Oryzias latipes: one gene and its partners. The protein of the gene in region 3 binds, or shares a complex with, the protein of the main gene of each other region. Links are inferred from orthologs where the notes say so. Each region holds a gene or a part of one and is shown on either strand. Other genes may lie near its edges.

What was found. Proteins that work in one complex are often made in the same cells at the same time.
Region 1: the proteins of txnl4a (region 3) and pqbp1 are in contact, whole or in part, in a crystal structure (PDB 4BWQ), measured with the Homo sapiens proteins. The link is inferred for Oryzias latipes from reciprocal best matches to the Homo sapiens genes TXNL4A and PQBP1. Residues at the interface, in NP_006692.1 of Homo sapiens: Gly11, Trp12, Val14, Asp15, Ile18, Asp68, Phe69, Met72, Tyr73, Glu74, Met82, Phe84, Asn87, His89, Met91, Gly97, Asn98, Asn99, Asn100, Lys101, Leu129; in NP_001027553.1 of Homo sapiens: Gln241, Gln242, Arg243, Pro244, Tyr245, Pro246, Ser247, Pro248, Gly249, Val251, Leu252, Ala254, Asn255.
Region 2: txnl4a (region 3) and aar2 share a complex: the UniProt entries of both Homo sapiens proteins name them as parts of the U5 snRNP complex. The link is inferred for Oryzias latipes from reciprocal best matches to the Homo sapiens genes TXNL4A and AAR2.
Region 4: txnl4a (region 3) and snrnp40 share a complex: the UniProt entries of both Homo sapiens proteins name them as parts of the U4/U6-U5 tri-snRNP complex. The link is inferred for Oryzias latipes from reciprocal best matches to the Homo sapiens genes TXNL4A and SNRNP40.
Region 5: txnl4a (region 3) and lsm8 share a complex: the UniProt entries of both Homo sapiens proteins name them as parts of the precatalytic spliceosome. The link is inferred for Oryzias latipes from reciprocal best matches to the Homo sapiens genes TXNL4A and LSM8.

Annotation. Positions count from the first base shown.
Region 1 is NC_019865.2:21,319,562-21,323,505, reverse strand, and holds the start of pqbp1 (polyglutamine-binding protein 1), read left to right. Parts: upstream 1-1,144; 5' UTR 1,145-1,233; intron 1,234-2,218; coding exon 2,219-2,285; intron 2,286-2,365; coding exon 2,366-2,477; intron 2,478-2,601; coding exon 2,602-2,702; intron 2,703-3,944. Other genes in the region: timm17b (mitochondrial import inner membrane translocase subunit Tim17-B), read right to left, coding at 1,099-1,124. UniProt on the Homo sapiens protein: Intrinsically disordered protein that acts as a scaffold, and which is involved in different processes, such as pre-mRNA splicing, transcription regulation, innate immunity and neuron development.
Region 2 is NC_019865.2:15,451,661-15,455,880, reverse strand, and holds the start of aar2 (protein AAR2 homolog), read left to right. Parts: upstream 1-1,420; 5' UTR 1,421-1,690; intron 1,691-2,247; 5' UTR 2,248-2,382; intron 2,383-2,617; 5' UTR 2,618-2,674; intron 2,675-3,004; 5' UTR 3,005-3,145; intron 3,146-3,242; 5' UTR 3,243-4,220. UniProt on the Homo sapiens protein: Component of the U5 snRNP complex that is required for spliceosome assembly and for pre-mRNA splicing.
Region 3 is NC_019869.2:14,391,663-14,395,679, reverse strand, and holds txnl4a (thioredoxin-like protein 4A), read right to left. Parts: upstream 2,801-4,017; 5' UTR 2,654-2,800; intron 2,461-2,653; 5' UTR 2,455-2,460; coding exon 2,302-2,454; intron 1,021-2,301; coding exon 917-1,020; intron 836-916; coding exon 664-835; 3' UTR 473-663; downstream 1-472. UniProt on the Homo sapiens protein: Plays a role in pre-mRNA splicing as component of the U5 snRNP and U4/U6-U5 tri-snRNP complexes that are involved in spliceosome assembly, and as component of the precatalytic spliceosome (spliceosome B complex).
Region 4 is NC_019869.2:21,982,921-21,987,195, reverse strand, and holds the start of snrnp40 (U5 small nuclear ribonucleoprotein 40 kDa protein), read left to right. Parts: upstream 1-1,475; 5' UTR 1,476-1,601; coding exon 1,602-1,712; intron 1,713-2,962; coding exon 2,963-3,092; intron 3,093-3,170; coding exon 3,171-3,264; intron 3,265-3,515; coding exon 3,516-3,681; intron 3,682-3,795; coding exon 3,796-3,918; intron 3,919-4,275. UniProt on the Homo sapiens protein: Required for pre-mRNA splicing as component of the activated spliceosome. Component of the U5 small nuclear ribonucleoprotein (snRNP) complex and the U4/U6-U5 tri-snRNP complex, building blocks of the spliceosome.
Region 5 is NC_019881.2:23,243,759-23,247,806, forward strand, and holds lsm8 (LSM8 homolog, U6 small nuclear RNA associated), read right to left. Parts: upstream 2,801-4,048; 5' UTR 2,599-2,800; coding exon 2,568-2,598; intron 1,515-2,567; coding exon 1,474-1,514; intron 1,385-1,473; coding exon 1,257-1,384; intron 539-1,256; coding exon 448-538; 3' UTR 101-447; downstream 1-100. UniProt on the Homo sapiens protein: Plays a role in pre-mRNA splicing as component of the U4/U6-U5 tri-snRNP complex that is involved in spliceosome assembly, and as component of the precatalytic spliceosome (spliceosome B complex).

The DNA of each region.
Region 1 (3,944 bases), on a different chromosome or scaffold from region 3:
CAGATTTACTCTCTAAAGGCAAAATAATGGATCACAGATCCACAGTGTTTTCTTCTGACACAAGGGGAGTGAATTCTGACTTCCTTTAAGTTCAAAACTAGGAATAACCACAAAGCAGGAACAGATCAGAGAGAAACTGATTAGATCAGAACAGAGAAGAGCCAGAGGTGGCAGAGCTTGTAGCTGCGAGGGGGAAAAAAGGAGGCAGAAGGGAGCGGCGTGGGGCAGCAAGCAGACGGAGCGGCGTGGGGCAGCAAGCAGACGGAGCAGGAGCAGACCAAAAAGAGAAACAAATGATTCTGTCTCCATGTTTTTACTCTGATTGGTTTGTGTGTCTTCCTTTTGTAGACGGTGGGGGATCTTTCTGTTAATCCCTCCAAAAACTCTGAACTCAGAAGTAAATGGGTTAACCATAACAACTATCTAATATCTATAATCAGTTAAATTCAGAAGTGTTATTATCAATCTGGATTATCAATGACTCAATGACAAGCATGTCAGCATTTTGATGAGTTGGGGCAGCTTTAGAGGAGATCTGTGTGCCTGAAGCCCTAGAAGTGTCGACTTTACTGAATTCTAATAAACAATCATCCATCTATGAAATAGTAGACAATGTTAATGATTATTCTTTAAAATGTCTGAAAGTTGTTGAGAGATTTAAACTGCATTTAGGATTTATAGAATAAATGTAACTGTGATCTTAATTGCTATTAAATACCATTATATTCTGTGATATATAAAACATCCATTTCTGCACAAGGATATAAATTGGATGTTTCGGCTTGAAAAACAATAAACAAGCTTACTACCAATTAATTAAAAATGTCACAAAATATGTAACATTTGTTCGCAATATGTTTTAAGCTAATTTAAAGCACTAACAGTAAATGTTGTCGTTTTTCCATAAATTGTAGAAATAATATATTTTATAACCTGCGAAATGTTAGAATTCTAGTTGAAATTAGATTACTTCTCGGTGGTGGACGCGAAACTATTCAACCTGGTCAGGTTTCGTTCAACAAGAGGGCAAAATTGCATAAAAGCCAAAGGACAAACTAATATGTTTAGGTTTTATTCGACAAAAAAAGATAATCTCACCAAGGTTCACGCGCAAACTCCTCCATCTTTCGTGTCGTCTTTTAAGCGCAGTGACGTCATAATCAGGCGCCGGCTCATCGTTCGTTGTGGTGGTCTGTTGATTTTAACGATTGAAATAGTCGTTTTTAAGAACAGGTACAGACTTTCCCCCCTCTTTGTTATTTATATAAACGCTTACTTGGTTAATTGAGTTTCTTATTATAGTTAGGAACTTCAAAATGACGGGATTTTGATTTATTTTAACCGCAGCTGTGAGTTGAGTTCAGAAAAACGGGCCTGGATCATGTTTTCGTGCAGATTATTTTAGCTCTTGAAATATTGTTTCTTTGCTAATTATCGATATTTTAAAACTGACTGAGCTACACTAACCTCAATATTTAAAAGACAAAAAAAACTTAACGTTTGAGAGTTTTAATCAATCGCTCCATAGTAGAACCAGAACCATCGAAATAACTTTCAGAAAAGTCCTGTTTCATTTTTTGAGCTGCTTTGAAATTGAGACAGTTTTGTGTGTGTGTGTGTGCGCGCGCGTGCGTGCGTGTTTAAATTTCGCACCTTATCATAAAATTTTCCTCCAGAGAATTTGTTTAGAAACAGTGAAGAATGGATTTGTTTGCTTCAAATACCTTATCTATACAGGTGCTCTGAATGTACACATCTGTACATCTGGATTTGGTCATAGAACATGTTTAATTTCAGAATTTGGGGTAATGGGTGTCTCTTATGTTGTTGCTTTTATGGGTTAGTTTGAAACGAAACAGTTCTGCCAAATTAAAGCCAAATCAGTTATTTAATTAATTGATTTTTCTATAAAAGTAATATTTTGTATTTGTCAGGTTAAATAAAACATTTTCTTTGCTTTTAAAGCCAGAAGTTGAATTTTATTGATTTAAAGTTCAAGTTTTGCTTTATTTAAATCACTAGTTAGGCAAAAATGTTTGTGAACGAACATAATTAGTTTTGGAATGGAACCTTTATTTTTTTTTAAAAAGAATTTATATTTAATCAAAATTTCTGCAATCCTAACTCCTGTACACAATCGGTGAATTCGTATGTAATCAACTGAAGAATTTGTCAGCATTTGCATCATCATTTAATCCTAACTCCTCTGTGCTTGCAGATGCCTCTACCTCCAGCCCTGCTGGCCCGTTTGGCCAAGAGAGGAATAGTTAAACCTTCAGATCAAGGTAGTATTCTACATCCTCACAGAGCTTACTTTCTGCTTTTTTTCTGAGCTTAAAACGACTTTTTCTCCTCAACAAAACAGAGATAGAGGAGGAGATCATCGCTGAAGATTATGATGACAACAATGTTGACTATGAAGCCACTCGGTTAGAAAATCTTCCCCCAAATTGGTACAAAGTGTTTGACTCGACGTGGTACGTAGAAACGAAGTCGATCAGCTGCGCTGCTGTGTTTGAGTATGATCACTGCGTGTCATTGATCTACCATTGAAATGAAAAGCAATTGCAGCTAAAGTTATTTGTTTTCTTCATTTCCCAGCGGTCTTCCTTATTACTGGAACATTGAGTCCGATCTGGTTTCCTGGCTTTCCCCAAATGATCCGTCAGCGGTTATAATGAAAGCTGCCAAAAAAGCAAAAGGTAAGAATTTGGTAAAGTAGATGACTTTGCTCTGCTTTCATTAAAAATTGTTTTACAGAGTTCATAAAATGTCCAAAATATTGGATTTTTACTTTTTGACAAGGGTATGAGGAAACAAAAAAAGAACATGAAGAGCATGAATGTGTAATAAACTCTCATATAGCTAAAGTTTATCCATCTTTATATTCAAACTTTGTTTGTCATGCTACTCAGATAATGATTGTTTTCTAAAACCTCAAAGATGTGGATTTCCTTTTGATTTTTATATTATTTTTATATTATATATATTATATTTACCGTAAATTCCGGGTTATAAAGCGCACCCGATCACAAGCCGCACCCACCTATTTTAACGTGCTTAAATATTTTTGTACATACACAAGCTGCATCAGTATACAAGCCGCTGCCTCAACAAAGCGCATCCTGACTACCAGAGTGTGCATGGCTCATTACCACACTGTGGGCAGGTACTGGCCTTGTCTCAAGCTCATGTATCTAATTACACCCACATCTGAAACGGCATGGACCTCTATTCTGTTCACAAGTTCCTCAGTTATGGGTTTTTTTATTTTTTTTAACTTATTGACAAACTAGGTATCATACATAAAATTACAAACAGTAACCATATAATCAACATTACATCCCTCAGTTATGATGAGGAAATTTATATCCGCGATCCCCCATTTCCCATGAGTCTTAGGGGCTAAAGGCGGGGCCAACGCCCGGCTCGCCACACTGTTGTTCGTGTTTAAGAATGAGCAAGGAGCAGCAGTGCATGGAGGGGTGAAAAGGAACAGCTCTCCTTCCACTTGTGTCGCGGCAGCGTTATGGTACTAACGGGGCTGGTTAAAAAACATCAGTAAAATAGCGCGCGCCTCAGCGCGGCGCGTTCGTCAGAAGCTTCCTCTCACAACAAACACTTGTTGCTCCGCGGACGCCTCTGCGCTCCGCGCTCGCCAAGCAGGCTCCTTGTCTCCCCTTCCTATCCGAAAAGCTCACACGGCGGCTGTGAGCTTTTCAATGCAAAATTCCGCTCAGTCAGAAACCGTAAAAACGACCAAATGGATTTGTGTTTCCAGTCGTGTCCCGACAAAATAAAGGCTGATGTTATTCACACATATTTACGTGCAGCCAGCCGAGTCACTATGACTCAGAGGTAAATACACTTCTGAGCATGCGCTGTTCTCTCCGTCACGCAGCTGACCGGCATTTCCATTTACTGATGGGGGATTTTTTCACGCT
Region 2 (4,220 bases), on a different chromosome or scaffold from region 3:
TGGTGATTCTTCTGTGATATTTTTGATTCTTGTGAAATTTCAGTTTTGACCGGAGCATCTCAAACTTCTGCTAACATGAGGCATCATGCTAGAAATAATGTATTTTTTTTTCTCTTTTCTACGCCGCACCCGGTATAATCCCACTCCCCAAAAATAAACACAAATTGTTTCATTTGTCTCTCTTTAGTTCTAATTTTGACCTGAATGCTCCTATATTTCTTATTAGCATGAAGCCATGAAGGTTCAAAGAGCTTAGAAGTATCTTTGAACTTATGGATCACCAAGGATTAAGTAAATAAACAGAAATATGAATTCATTTTTTAGACTTTGTTTCTGTTATAATCAGTGAGACCAACTTTTTCCTCTGACAATGACACCCCTTTGTATTGTTCAGGGAGTCTAGATAGAGTTAGCTCAGACCTTCTTTTTTGTTGAGGTTCATGTCTGTTCTTAAAGTTTCTGGCCAGAAATTAGCGCATGCATTCCCGTCCCCCTGTGCAAAAGACCCAATCCTGCTTTGCCCTGCAATTTGAAAGAAATCTGTAAAACTTTACGCAATAGAGTGTGCAAAATGACAATGTAAAAACTCCATGTTTGGTTTGTTCAACTTTTAATTTTTGTGTCTTTACTCCCAAACAAACAATGCAGACCTTCTGAAGTGAATGTTTGGTTGAGGGGAATTCTGACTCCAAACTCAGTGAGACAGACGATGATCTGCAAATGATGTTTTCAAAGTAAGGCTAAACATAGCAGCTACAATATTCAAGAGAAGTCTCTTCATGCATCTAGAAAAAGTTTTTTTTAAACTTTTGAGTCTCAATTCAGCAGTAATTATCTGGTGAGATCTTAAATTACACTAATATCTCATTTAGATTTCATGAATAAAATTTGCATTTGTTCCACAGGATTAGACAGTTCTCAAAGTTTCTGTCATTAAATGACAAAAAAATATTTCTCAAACTGAATTAAATGCTGATTCTTGTATTTTTACATCAATGCAGCTGAAATATAACTTTCTTTCTATAAAAGTGTTTTTCAGATGTCAGAATAAAATGTGAGAATATGGGAGAACAAAAACTTTCATTGTAGGAAATGTTCTGCTGGACCAGTTCAGTTACCCCCACCACCCCCACCCCCGCAGTCGGTTCCCATAGTTGTTTATTGTTATAAAATGTGGTTTCTCATTTTTTTTGTCTAAATCACAAATAAAGGGTTTCTTTATTTTATCATTCAACCATAAACTAGACCTCTAAACTTTTATTCATTAATACCATTATTATTAGAAAGTAACGCTAGTTGATGAGAAGAAAAGCTTCTCTTTTAGTGTCCTATCTTCCAAACGAAACCGAAAGCACAAAGGCAGATGATTGATTGCAGGAGTTTCCTCGACCTGAACCGACTGGAATTTGATGAAATCCTAAACCCAGCGTCAGTAGTCCATGACGGGGAGGAAATTGAGCAGCAGCAGCAGCAGCCTGGGTGATGCTGGAAAGACGCAGCGCTGCGTCGGCTGTGACTGACCCCGCTGCAGCTCTGACCTCTGCACCTGAGAAAGTGTGCAGTGCAGACAGTACCGAGAGGAAGCAGAAGGATAATGAGAGCAGCTGGAGCGTTAATTCCACGAACCTGCAAGTCACTGTCAGACATAGGTTTGCTCGTCTGAGGATCCTGCTGAAGAGCATAATAAATGGTAAGCGCACTGGTGCGTAATTACGCACGCACAGTGACAAAGTGAGTTGTTTTAGTGCTTTGATGCCAAAGCAGAGATTGAGAATTAAACCTGAGACTCGGACTTGAGTCTCACTTCAGTTTCAAAGGCAGGGATTTAAGACTTGAAAGCCTATTTAAGACTGAAACCTTAACTTCAAGAGCATCAGACTAGACTTTGAGGACTTGAGAACATTCTTAGTTTATTTTTAGTTTTACCTTAAAAAAAAAAAACAGATTGAGGTCTAATATTTTTGTGCTGTATGTGTCACTATTAGGTGGTTTAAAATACTGTAATGACATTAGTGAGAATCACACATTTTTAAAAATAATTTCCAACATTTTGGATTTGACTTGTAACCAAAGACTTAAAACCAGACTATGACTTGGGAAAAGTGGATTTCAGAGCATTTTAATGCCAAAGTCTGTGCACTTTGTCTTTCTGTCATGTGATACAAAGATGCCCAGGAGCCGAGTGATTTTATTCAGTCTTCACTGGGCTGCATTTAAGGTACTTCCACACCTCTTTCTTTTATGCAGTGTCTGACCGGAACTCTACTCCACAGTGTCCTGGTGGTTCTCTTGTTGGCCAACTCATCTGGTAAAAGTAAATGTAACTACAAAGACATACTGGGCTTCTACAGAGAAGTCATCTTCGTTGAGCTGCAGAATCTGGTATGACGACCAAACTGACCGCAAAATAAGAATTTCAATGTTTGTTTATATTCAACAGCCTTTTACCTACAGCTGACACTAAGAAAAGTGTTGGAATATATGGTTAGAGACTGCCCTCCAGTGTTTGTTTTGCAACACACACACAAAGAAAAGCCTCAAAACGAATTTTCCCACACTTTGAATGAGATGAAACTGGATTTCTAAAATAATATTTTTGATGACTAATGTTTTTCAGAATTTGACTGTTTCTCACAACTCATCCAAAGGGAGAGATCCCTGCCCCTCTGCAAAGGTGAGCATCAATGCTATAGGTACATTAGATGTAGTTTGGTGGCTGTAAAACGGAAATCACACACACAACAAATGCAGTAAACGTAGTAACAAAAATGGAAACAAATTACAGAAAACTGTTAAAATAGAACATTTAAAAATATTTTGCTTTAAAAAAAAAAAAACAATATTAAAAGTAAAAACAAAAAAACAAAAAAGGAGATTTCTTTAACCCTGATGTGACATATTTGTTTAGTTTGGCAAGTTTTGTCTACCCAAATACTTGCATTGTTTGTTATCAAGGTCTTTAAATGCTGTCTGTTTTCTCCTTTTTCCTGCCATCTCATGGCAGGCACATCGCATCCTTGTGTCCATATACATTAACACACAGCAGGTCCTCTGTTTGAAGAGCGGCAAGAAGCTGTCTGACCTGAAAAAGCCAATAGAAAACATGGAGCAGCTCATCGTTCAAAACTGCAGTCCTAATTATATGGTGAGAAAAAGTACCGATGCAGATCTTTGAAGTATGCAAAAAAACTTAAAAATCTGAACTAATTTATCTTTTTTTTCTTTTTTTCTTTTACTTCTAGGGAAAGAAAAACCCCTGTTCATCTGCCCAAAAAATACAAGGGAGAAAAGGCAAGAGATTTAGGGTGATCAAAACCATAAAGGCATTGATTAGATGTTGGGAAAAACTCAAAAGTGTCGTACCCTCTGATAAATAGTATGACTTTGGTCCCTAGGACCCGTGCTACTCTATGCACTCAAATTTCCAGATGGTTCTTCCAATCTGGTCAAGATAGACTTTGTAAAAAAAAAAACGGCTTCCTCTTTTATTGGAATGCTCAAGTTGTTTTATTCCTCCTTTTTTTAACAGTTGTCGAGATCTCCGAGTTTTGTGATTAAAAAAACGCCATCCACTGCATGTCAGCATTCCTCTTTGCAATATGAATTGTTTCCTAATAAGCCAAGATAAGCTAAAAAGTATTCACTCACCATTCAGATGTTCTCCAGTAAAATATGCACATTTTCATTCTTTGTAGCATGTTTTTTTTGAATGACATATTGACATTATACATATTTCCTGTCTTTTTTACTGTAATTTCATTTAATAAAATACTGAATATTTATTAATACTTTTATTAGAGAGGAAATTGTTGGTTTTGTTGTTTTTTATAAAAGGAAATCTTAAAGAGTGGAACTGTTCTTAAAAAGAATGTTTCCGACGGAACAAATAAGGTGTTACGCAGCGTCCGCCAGTGTTTACAGCCGAGAGTCCGCGAAGCGAATTCGCCACGAATCTGAACATTATCGTAAAGTAGCTTTTGTTCTTTGCATGTTAGTAAAAAAAAAAGTGCGAAGGGCAGTTCTTAGTCAGAATTATACTCTTTTCATTGTTTGTTTTCGTAACATTTACAGCGACGCAGAAATGCGTTTTTGTTCCTTAACAACACTCCCCTGAAGCAGCTTCTTCACTAGTCTGTGACTGTCTGTGGGACGTTCTGGGTAATCCTTTCCAATATTCAGGACACTTGTATTTTATTTTAGGAGGTTATTTGTGACACAAA
Region 3 (4,017 bases):
TTAGTTTGACAGCACAAAGATCCCCGTTTTTTGGGGAAAAGTCCTATCATGAAATAAAGTTCTTTTAAGGTCATTTCCTGTTCTTTGTTCCACAGATGATCTCTATAGCAACACAAAAGTGTCACATAAGTCTGTTTGATGGGCCGTGTCCCAATACTGCCCCAGGCCACGGCAGGAAGGAGCATTTGCATGTGATGCTGGAGACTGGTGCATACGTGGAACTGCTATGATGCCACCTACCGGACAACTCTGGCAAGTGCACCCAAAAAAACAAAACTGGAAGTTGATTTGATTTAGACATAATCTCTAGTAAGTATCAACAGCCGCTGTGAGTCACTGCACTTCCTGTGACGTCTTTAACTGCCATAGCAAAATGATTTAATGCTGTAAAGTTTCAAAACAAACTCAAACATTTGAGAAAATTTCCTAAATATATTTACATGAAAGTCAAGTTTATTTTAATAATCAAACGTAAGATTGTTGACACTTTTATTCACAAAAATTCAAACAAGCTTCAAAACTGAATAAAACTGATGAGAAAACAATGAGACCAGTAGCTGGAATATCGTCCTCCTTTGCTGGAAAAGCAGAGTTTCTTCTGTTTGTCATCAACAAAACAAAAATACACAAAAAGGGTAAAAAATGGTTTAAAAAAAGTGAGAATCAGTATCTGTATTTAGTAGAATAATCCTTGGGAGAAACAACCAGACCCCGTCCTTTTCTGGCTCCTCGATACACCGTTTCTACAATGTCAATCATCTCCTGTTTGTCCTCCATGGGCCAGTTGATCTTGTTGTTGTTTCCAGTTCCCAAGTCAATCATGATGTGTTTGTTCCTGGAAAACAAACCAAAGGCAGGAGCGTTGGACATCATATATGATATGAGGACCTGTGTTCCAGTGATGAGGGTTCCTCACCTGAAGAAGAACATGACGGTGCAAGGATCGTACAACTCGTACATCTTGTTAAAGTCGGGCACTTCTGTGATGTCTACCAGGTAAATGACTGCAAAGTTCTTCACCTGAGAAGACAAAGGTGGCGGTTACTAGAACAACAAGGATCTGGACTTTGATTGCTGAAACCAAAGCTGTGACTTTAATGAAGGTTAAGGAACAGAAATTAATCTCCAAAACAGTCAATAAGATTTAGAGGAACATTAAAAACTAAAACTTCATTTTAACGATTCAATTCATATCATAATTTGTGGCTGCTGATCAGATTCATAATCGATATTTGTTTATTTTGAACGATCTGATTCTCTGGCCTAAGATCGATCCAGAACATCTTTATCCAAAACTTCAACCAGTGTGACTCAGAGATGAATACCTGGATACTGAACAGTACAGGTGACGTTTTCCAGATTCCTTATATTTCTTCAAGATAATCAAGTTTAAATTAATATGTGTACAAACAAACAAGTAAACCAGAATGAAAGTCAAATCCATTCACATTTTAGTTTCCTAAAGTTCAGTCCACTGTTGTTTTTCCACATCCAAAGAATCCTAAGGGAACAATATTACAACATTCTACCACACTGTCTGGTCACGTCTTTGCTAAATTCATATTGTTTCCACACATTGGACTGTTATGATGGTTGATCAGTTTTTGCTGACCTCACATGTGTGTTGTCCACCGTGATGCAATTGGTCGTTATTACATTACAGTAAAATAAACCTACCATGTCTCAATCCTAATTGTATTTTCCAATTTCAATTCTATTATCGATTTATCTCCTTTTGAAAGTATTTTAAAATGGTAGAGGCTGATTTGATGAGCTACTTGCCTCAGACAGATGGATCTGGTAGGTTCATAGGAAAAGAAATCGATTCGTCAATTAAGAATCAGGAAATTCCTGTTTTATCTGGAGCTTTTTGGCTGTTGTGGTGATGTTTTTCGTATGAATGTTTCTCCAAAACGCCATTTCTCTGTAAACCCTATGTATGTTGGTGCAGTGGGGTTTGTCACAAACTGCCGTCGTCTTACTGTAACCTGTGATTCAGTTAAATCTTCAGGTATGATCCTTCTTTCAGCAACTAACCAGAGAAGAGGGTTAAATCCTTAAATGAAATCTTTAAAGGATGACTGCAGACATTCAAACTGTTTTCTCTAACTGCTAAGCTTTCCTTACCCATTGAATATTTTCTCATGTTATGCATTTATTATCAAACTTGTTAACAGTCAAAAGCAGGGGGATTTGGGGACCAAAGGAAGGTGCAAATAATTTTCCCTTTTAATACTGTAACCAGACGAGCCCTTTTATTTTTCCATAGAAATTATGGTGCACATAAGAAGCTGATCAAACCTTTTCAGCGATACTATAAAGAACTTCATCCATCTTCATACACGTTGGGTCCCAGTCGTGTCCGAAGCGGATCACCAGAACTCGGTCTTCCTCAGACAGAATGGCCTGGTCCACCTGCCAGCCGTTATGGAGATGCGGTAGCATGTACGACATCTTGACCTAAAGATGGAGAATCCGAGACCGCCCCCGACCCAAAATTCTGAATGATAATGTTATCTTAAAGTGTTAAATAACCGCGGAGAAGAGGAGGTTGATGAATGCTAATGCTAAGCTAGCTGAAGAAAAATCTAGAAATCATGACAGCGAAACTTTAGAAGATGCGGAACCACAAACATGAACGAAAGAACCTTACCTTGAATTAGCAAAACTAAGTATAATGAAATAAAATTAGATTTCTGCTTAGATAAAATTACTTTGTTCTCTCAATAAAGAAAAAAAAATCTATCTTCAGCATCTAGAGCTCGTTCCTAACAACGTCACAAACTCGCGACGTCGTCGCAAAATGTCTACGTCAACATCCCACAAACCTATTCAGAGAAAACGTATTATTTTTTGTTCCTTTTTGTCCTATTTTATGACAAATCTAGTATTACTTTAACTGATGTTGACAAAAGTGAACAATTTAATAAAAACTACATGGAAGGCTTTAAATCGAAAGCAGGCTATGCGAAACCAGTTATTAAAAGAAAGATTTAGGTTAAAATGTCAAATTTAACAAGAAAATGAAACACTACATTCGGAAAGATAAAGGAAAGTAGAAAAATGTATACTTCTTAACACAACATCACCCCTTATATATTTCTTTATGTAGATCATTTTTCCCCTCTTTGTAGGATGAATAAGATTTATTCTACGTTGCCACATTTTCAAGGAAGAATTGATAGACAAAGCATTTTCACGTTTAATGTAATTAAAACCCCAAAAGAAAAATCATCCCATATGATCAATTTTTGGATGCCCTTGTTCCTCTAACCTTTTATGGGTAGAAATAATAGCTTCCTGTTAGGGATGCATGTGTACATGCACCACAAGTGAAAAACAAATGTTTATGGACTACTGCTTGCACAATTTTCAAAAGACAAGTAGCTGCACAGTATAGTTCATTAAGATTCAGTAAGTAAAAACGATTTTGACGCAAAAAAATAACTTGTAAAATCAAAACCCCCAATAATGATTTACCTTTGTATTTTCAATGTTTTATTCTCTTGTTGCTCCTTGAAACGAGTGTTACTTCCGTTTGAAAGTAGGCAGAGATACAGGAAACGGTTTTAAGCAGGAAAAAACACAGATAAAAAATTTATTGTGCAATTCATTACAGTACAAACAGAAAGAACGAACACAGTTCAAAGGTTATAGGAAAACTTTCCAGTCTTTAACATAGCAGCACATTATGGCACTCCTAAAGAGAGTTCAATTATCATTAGATACATCATTTTAATTTCCCCTTTAAGCTACACAGTCACATCTCTGTGGTTTTAAATGGACACATGATTCATAAAATCCAACTATGTTACACGATCTTATGTAGGACACATGATTGTTTTACAAACAACAGTGATAGTCAGCTTCCGGACTATCGTCAAACACTGCATTCACTCTTTAAAGCTGATAAAGACTGTTTTAAATTTGTTTTGGCTGTTTTTCATATTGCACAAAATCAGCCGTCTGGTCAAGTCTCTCAGCAGTCACATAGCGCTCAAACCCCCTTTCACCATT
Region 4 (4,275 bases), about 7.6 Mb from region 3:
TGGCAGATTGTCAAGTGAATTTCTTTAAAAAAAAGTGTACACTCAAGTGGAGCAGAGAAAGTAAAAATTCTATTTTAGTGAGTTTTCTCCTATTCAAAATCTTACAGCCTGTTTATCACTCCCTTAATTTGAGCTGAGCTCGCCACACAAATGTCAAATCTCTTATGCTCATCCTAGATTTTTTTTGCTCAAACTACTCTAGTTTTGAGATTTTGGTACCCACAAGTGAGGAGGTGCTCTGCCACAGTCATAAGTACCTGTTTAGAATCGGTATGTGCCAACTTTATACCAGTACTGTTTCCCAAAACCAAGTAGTTGCATTGTCTGGTACAAGCTGAAGCTGGTATACAAACTGGAGACCAGGTTTTTTATGTAACTAGAGATGATAACAGTAAAGTGAGTTTTCAGAGAAAACCCCTGGATGTTTCCTCAATCAGTCAGCACTAAGGTGGCATACATTGCCTTGTACAGATCTGCGGTCAGGGCTGCACTGTGACAAAGTGGTTAGCGCTTTACTCTAAATCTGTGCATGCGTGGGTTTTCTCCAGGAGATCCGGCTTCCTCCCACCATCCAAAAACATGCGAGTGGCCGGGTAAGGCTCTGACAGCCCCATGACCCCGAAAGGGACAAAACGGGTTTACAAAATGGATAGATTTGCCATCAGTGTTTATGCCCAGACAATTCAGAGAGCAGAGACCTTGAGGTGAAAACTTGCAATCCCTTTATCTTCGTGGTTTCCGACCAAACTCTTCCCTTTAAGACAACTTACTGCCTCTCTTAGATTTCTACATAATTTGGGAGAGGAAATGAAACAGCAATCTTCTTTCATCCAATTCACCAAACGAAAGTCATAAAAGAAAATGAATTAATTTCAAAGGTAATGTGGTTGACAGAAAGAGTTCGGTAAATTTTTAACCTCTGCTGTGCTGTTCACTTCTTGCAAATAAAGAATGACCTTGTGCCTTTTGGGATATTTATTTGTACAAATATGTGGTTGAAAATGAAAATTGTCATTCGTGTCATTTTAAACTACGATGAAGCCAACCTGTCGCAATAAAGCATTAACTTCCCGGTACCAAAGAAATATAATTACTAATTTTATTTATGTAAAAATTAGCTCAAAGTTGTTGTTTTTTAATAATCGAGCGAACAAAAAATCTAAGTTGACAACAAGACAAGTCAGCAATGAATTTGGTTAGCTTATAATTTCGTCCTCTTACGGTTTGTACCGTCAGTTCAAAGACAAAAGCTCAGACATGAACAGTATAGGCGTTTGTCGTGGTAGAACGATAAGGAAAATCACGCAAAAAGTATCTTAAGTCTTGAAAAAAGGATGAAAATATTACCTTTCGTGTGGTTAGCTGAACTCAGATTGTTGTACTTCCGGTGCATTGTCGCTGACAACGTCTTCATCAGCCAATCACAGCAGGAGATGGATGTTTAAACCAATCACACAGCTCATACTCACCGGAAACACTTCATCCTGATTTCTTCGTTGGTGCTACGCTTTTCTCGTTTCCCATGAAGGCGCAAATAGTCATTCGGTAAACCGTAGTCACAAACAAACTTATTTTTGTCGATTATTTGCAATTATTTCGGGATGATTGAACCAAAGAAAAGAGCGGGAGACATGGCGGTAATTCCCACCGCTGTGAAGCGAGCCCGGAACGAGCTGGTGGCGGCGGCACAGTCCCAGCAACTCGTGGCTACGGTACGAAAAGAATCAACGTTCACACAAAAAAACTCAAATTAGAGAAAATATATACACACGGGTGTTGACCCGCATTTGTATTATGCATGCTTTAAATGATGTAATCTAAAATTTACTCAAACACGACATTTTTTGTGGTGCACCTATTATTTCTTGACGTAGAGAACACATGACAACGAATAACAACACGAGTTTTCGCTAGGATATTTAATTTTTGGATGTAATGTTGCTTCTTTAAAATACGTATTATATTCGAAATCCCGTTGTTATCAACAAACTGATGGTAAAGGAACCTTTCCCAGTTATGGGTGTTTCCGGGGTGAACCGTGAACAGGTTACAAATCCTAGGCTAATGTTATGATAGAAAATTAAAAAATGTTATTTTTTTTATTAAGCATGAGTTTTGTGTATTTAAACCTTTTCCAGTTTGTAGATGTTTTTCTGTAAGTAGATATTTTGATTATTGAGACAAAACTATAGGATATTTAACAGGATAGATACTAAATCTTTTTTTTCTATTGTAAAAAATAAATAGCTTTTAAACACTGGGGTTTCATTTTAGCAATCATCTTTTGATGTTGCAAAAATCTGCATGACATATCACCTGCAACAGTCACATTCACAGTCACCCATGCACACACACATTCACACACTGATGGCGGTTTCGCTCTCTTACTGGCGCCAAACTATAACCACCAGAAGCAATGTGGGGTTCAGTGTCCTGCCCAAGGACATTTCCACACATGGGTGGGCAAGGCGGGAACCTAACCTGCGATATTCATGATCAGGTGGACCGCTCTGCCTCTGCACCACAAGCCCCTGCATGGAAAGTGTGCCACCATAGGGTGCAGAGGCAGAGCGGTCCACCTGATCACAAATATCGCAGGTTAGGTTCCCGCCTTGCCCACCCATTTGTGGAACCTAACCTGCGATATTTGTGATCAGGTGGACCGCTCTGCCTCTGCACCACAAGCCCCTGCATGGAAAGTGTGCCACCATAGGGTGGCAAGATCCTTTGTGTCACATGATCAATTTGATCCTTTACAAATGATCCATTTCCTCACTGGTCTGCTGCAGATTTGCATTAAACTTTGTGGACTTTACTCTGAAGCGTTCTGTGGCACATTAAGCCCAAACGCACTTTTATTTATCTGTCTTTTATCACATGCCTGTTTTCTTTTTAGATTTCACTTGGACTAAATCTGGAAGAAAAAAACAGAAAGTAAATTAAACTGACCTTTCTCCTCCAGGGTCCTCCTCGGACCTCCAGCCTGCAAGCTCCCATCATGCTGATGTCGGGCCACGAGGGCGAGGTGTACTGCTGCAAATTTCATCCAAATGGAGCCACGCTGGCGTCTTCTGGCTTCGACCGACTCATATGTAAGCAAAAAGAGGCAAGCTGCCGTTCTCCCGGCCTTCTTCTGTTGCTTTGTTCCTCACTTACTTCCTTTACCTCAGTTCTGTGGAACGTTTTTGGGGAGTGTGAAAATTACGCCACCCTGAAGGGCCACAGTGGAGCTGTGATGGAGCTGCATTACAACACAGATGGCAGGTAGGAAGAAAGCTGTAGATTTTATCTTTAAACTTCACCTTTAAATTGACATTTTTCTTGTTTTAGGTTATGTTTACAGTGAAAGTAAAGCTCATATTCTCATTGTTTCTTAGTCTTAGTTTGATTTCAAAAACTAAGGAACTTTATGGAACAAAAAAAATGTTCATCTGTAAATTTTAGGACTTGGAACTATCTACATTTCTTAAATAACCTTTCCATAAAATTTGACTGGATCATTTTTGTGCCTCCAGCTTGTTATTTTCGGCAAGCACAGACAAGACCGTGGGCATTTGGGACAGTGAAACAGGGGAGAGGATTAAGCGCCTGAAAGGTCACACTTCCTTTGTTAACACCTGCTACCCAGCTCGCCGGGGGCCACAACTGGTCTGCACCGGCAGCGATGATGGGACGATAAAGGTGTGACATTTTTATTTTAGGTGCAGTTATTTATTCTGAATGCTTCAACTGTTGAGGTCCCATTCAAAGTTTTTAAATGTTGCTTTATTGTATTTTTGTTAATCGTCACTGCAGTTGTGGGACATCCGTAAAAAGGCGGCAATTCACACCTTCCAGAACACCTACCAAGTTTTGGCCGTGACGTTTAATGACACCAGCGACCAAATCCTGTCTGGAGGCATCGACAATGACATCAAGGTATTTGGATTGTTCTAAAAAAAACAACAACCAGCAGAGTGTCCTTGGTTTTGTTTTGTAAGATTAACAGGAAGTCTGAAATCTCAGCTGCTACGTGGCTCTACTGTAGATGGCAAGAAAAAAGTTTGACATTTTATAAAAACTCAGTGTTTAAGGTAAAAACTTTCTGACATTTTGAAAGAAAAAAGAAATCAGTGATTTAGTTGTTTTCAATCCGTTTTAAATAACACATTTTATTAGTCTGCCATAAAGCTTAAATCAACGTTTTATCATGTGTTTGCCTTCATTTAAATGCACCAAATAATCTGATTCTACTTAGATAAAGACTAACATGTGAAAAAAAAAATTTCGGTTTCA
Region 5 (4,048 bases), on a different chromosome or scaffold from region 3:
TTCAAGTTTCCATGATCACAAATAAAGCAAAGCAAATATCTAAATAAAATAAACGTCTGTTTAAAAAAAATAGCTAATAAAGTTTTCAGAACAGAAGCTCTAAAAGGAAAACATTTTCACACATTTATTTGTTCTTCCCTGAAAGACGAGAACATGGAGCTGAAGAAAAGCAGAACTTTGTGCTTTAAAACAAACTCAAGTCTTTTTTTGAGTCTTGGTTTCACCTTAAAGCAAAATGAAAAGAATCAAATCCAACGTTATTCAACTTTTCTCTGTTGGAGATGAAGACCGTGACTCAAACCTCCTTTATAAAAATACAAACGTGGAAACATCAGAACAGTCTGTTGGAGGAGGAAGACTCTGATCACCCTCAGATCTTCATCTCCACGGCTCCCGCTGCAGCAGACCCCTCCCCCTGAGTCCACTGTTGCCGTGGAGACGGTGAGCTCAGTGAACCACAGAGTTGAGCGGCTCGGCTCGGATGTTCCCCAAGTCCAGCGTGGAGTCGGTCTCTTCGTCGATCTCACCGATCACCGCTCTGATGAGGAAAAAAAGAATCGCCACGCCGTCAGAATGACCTTTAGAGCCCGCTGGGGGGCTAAAGTCCCACTCCCACCAGCTTCTGATCTATTTTCAGATGGTTCGCAGTGCAGAGTGAGCCCATCTTCATTTCCCATCATCCATGTGTTTACACTCTCTCCTGCTAGCTTACAGCCCCTCACCCCCCCATCTTAACATTAATGGAACAACAAAAACAGCAGCAACATCAGGTCCACCCGTCCAGTTCTGATCCAGATTCCAGCTCAGACCAGGAGAACAGACGTTCATGGATCTGTTGGTCTGCAGGTGGATGATCAGAAAGGGGCGGGGCAGGGAGACTGTGGCCCCGCCCAGAGTATTTTCTACGCTATAAATGTAATTTTTTCCCATCAGCATTTTTTTCGTCTGCTCCTGATTCACAACAATTTGATTAAAGAAAAACTCAGAAATTGATCTCAATGATCTGAATCTATGACCTCCATCATCAGAAAACCTCTACAAGAAGAAGAGCATTTTCATCAGAGCGGCTCTTTGCCCCTGGAGGGGGAGGATTCTGTCGACCTGTGGACTCGAACCCACGGGCTGAAGGTAGACGCTCTACTCTGCTGCTGAGCTGCTTTTACCTGCTGTTTTCAGATCAAATGTCCTTTCAACTGTCTTCAACTGTTTCCTGTTTCTCTGTGTTCTGATGGGAGGACCGGCGGTCTCAGACTCACACGTTGTCTCCTCTGACGATGTAGAGTCCCAGCACCACCTGCTCCACGCCCTGACTGGAGCTGAAGACGCGCTCGTGACTCTCATCCAGGATGAGGTTGATGGTCTGATCGAAGCCTTTCAGAGTTCCCTGAAGAGAATCAGAAATGAGAAAATGAGGCTGGGCTCCAACCGAAAAGAGCGGATCCAGCCGAGGACAGGAGGAGCATTTGAACTCACCACGATCATCCTGCCGTCTGAAGTGACGATGGCCACCGTACCTGAGCCAGCATCGGTCAAAGAAACTCATCCAGAACACATCATCACCTCACAGCTTCTAGGAAGCTCAAAAATCTCTACAGCAGCTTTTCCTCTGAGTTCAGAGCGAAGTGTCGGATCCAAAGTCCCCTGGACTCCAGATACCAGCAGAGAAAAAGTTTAAGAAAAAACTGAGCCCAGGTGACCGAAGCCCCGCCCCGACTTCTGGTTGGTGGAAAAGACAACATGCTGTACAGATTCAGCCTCAAAGAACAAAAACCTTCACAGCTGCTTTTCTGTTGCTGAGAATAAACTGCATCCACTGCTGCCTAATTGAAATCAGAAACACAATTTTTATTGGAGTTGATTAAACTGAGTCAGTGTGATGTTACTTTTTACTGTTTTTTTGTGGTTTGCTTTTCAGCAAAACAAACTTCTCTGCAGCTGATTTAAATACGAATTTAATTATGGGATGTAGGAGAAATTAGCACGAATCTGTAAGATAAGATTCAGTTTCACTGAAGACACGCGGGGAAACCAGCAGCATGTTTTCAAAAAGATGAACTCTGGGAAAATAAAAGCGGTTTAGAAGTAGAATTCCTGATATTCATCATGAAGTTCTCAGAATGTTTTGGTTCCTGTGAGGAGATCCTCCTCCAGAACTAAAGAGATTCATGCAAATCTCTTTAATCTCTAGGAATAATCTAAGGAAATATAAAAGAGCATTTCTCCTAATTATTTATTCTTTACTTCTACTGACAAACCCGGTTCTCCAATGATCGATGAATAATAATCAGGAAACGATAAGAAAAATAATCTGGTTTAAACTTTCTGCTGAAAATAACCCAAAAGGCTACAAATTCTTATTTTTGCACGATACCCGAACAAAAGCACAAAATAAACAGTGTTTGAAATCTAAAGATGAATTTAGTTAAGCCTACTAAATAGACATTTAAATTACACTCTTTATATTTAACAAAACACGAGTTTTCGTTAGCGCGCTAAGCTAGCAGTTAGCCCTCCATTCATTTAAACGGCGGTTAGCCTGTTAGCCGCTAGCAGCAGCGGAAGGATACGGTTGATGTAGCTCTCCAGCGCGGTGGACATGTTTGTCCGGAGCTCCTTTTTTATTTATCCAGCTGGCGGGAAGACTTGCGTTTGAAACAGGCTAAGAGAACCCGCAAAAACACCGCACAGGCTAACGGCGGCAGCTAACAACAGCCAGGCTCAGCTAATCTCACACAGATTCATAGAGCTGAGGCGTCAAAGCGCGCATGCGCATGTCCTCCTTCTTCTTCTGTGTTTTCTTTTGGCGGTTAGCAAACACCCTGCTGGCGCATTAGTGTCACCACCTGGGACGGAGTTTGGAGAAATTGTTTTTGAGCTGTTCTTTACTTTTAATTTCCATCCTCACACATTCACACATTATTAAAATCTGCTTTAAAAAGTGTTTGTTTAAAGAACTTAATTAAACAAATAATCATACAATTAAATGAAATGACAGCTCCAATCTGAACTTTTCAGGCTGTTTTTCTTAAAATTTATTTTTGTAACAAATACTTCACACATTCCAGCATCATCAGAACCAATCATTAGATGTGGTCATTATCCGGTTTCACGTTTCTCTTAACGGTTTAGGATCCAAAACTAATTCTAGCCTAGTTTTCAGTTTCTCCTTAAAGACCCACTCTGATGTGATGTTTTTAACATGTTCTTGTAGCATTTTTCTCGTAATGGAGAGCATATATAAAATTATTTAAGATAAAACTGCGTTTCTAAGTACTTCTTTATTAAAATCGTAAATCAGTAGCAAAAAAAATGCCATTTGAAAAAAACTCCCAGTTGTTACGCAGCAACAAAGATGGGCGGGGCCACAGCCTTCCTGCTCCGCCCCTTTCTGATCATCCACCAGATCCATGAACGTCGTCGTTCTCCTGGTCTGAACTGGAATCTGGATCAGACCTGGATGGATGGCAAGCTCTGATACTGCTTGCTGTACGGTTACACTAGTAAAGTTAAGTTGGGGTTGTGAGGGGCTGTAAGCTAGTGGGAGAGAGCGTAAACAAAGGGATGATGGGATATAAATGGAGACGTATCTCCATTTTAACATTCAGACCAGGCCGGTTGAAGAACCTCACCTGATCATCTGTTCTGCGTCCTGGACGACCTCGGATGATCAAGAGAGAAATTAAGATTTCCTGAAGAAGATTTTGACTCAGAGATTTTTACAAATGTAAAACTTTAGTTCAGTTTAATGTGAAACATTATATACATGACAGGAAACCCAAACAGACACGTTTGAATGCATGTGCTAATGTTAGACCACATGTGGAGTCACAGCCTCCCGTCTCACTTTATTGTTGCTCAGTATTAAAAAAACAGAAGGTGGGGTGGGAGGTGGGGGGTGAATGAAGGCTGACGGGACTGGGACAAACACCAGGAACCTCATGCTACCAAAGTATTAAATTTGTACAAAAATACTTTACAACATCCTTGTTCCTTTAAAGAAAACAAACATACAGTTTGGTTGGTGAAGCTACATGAAAACGACTCTGAC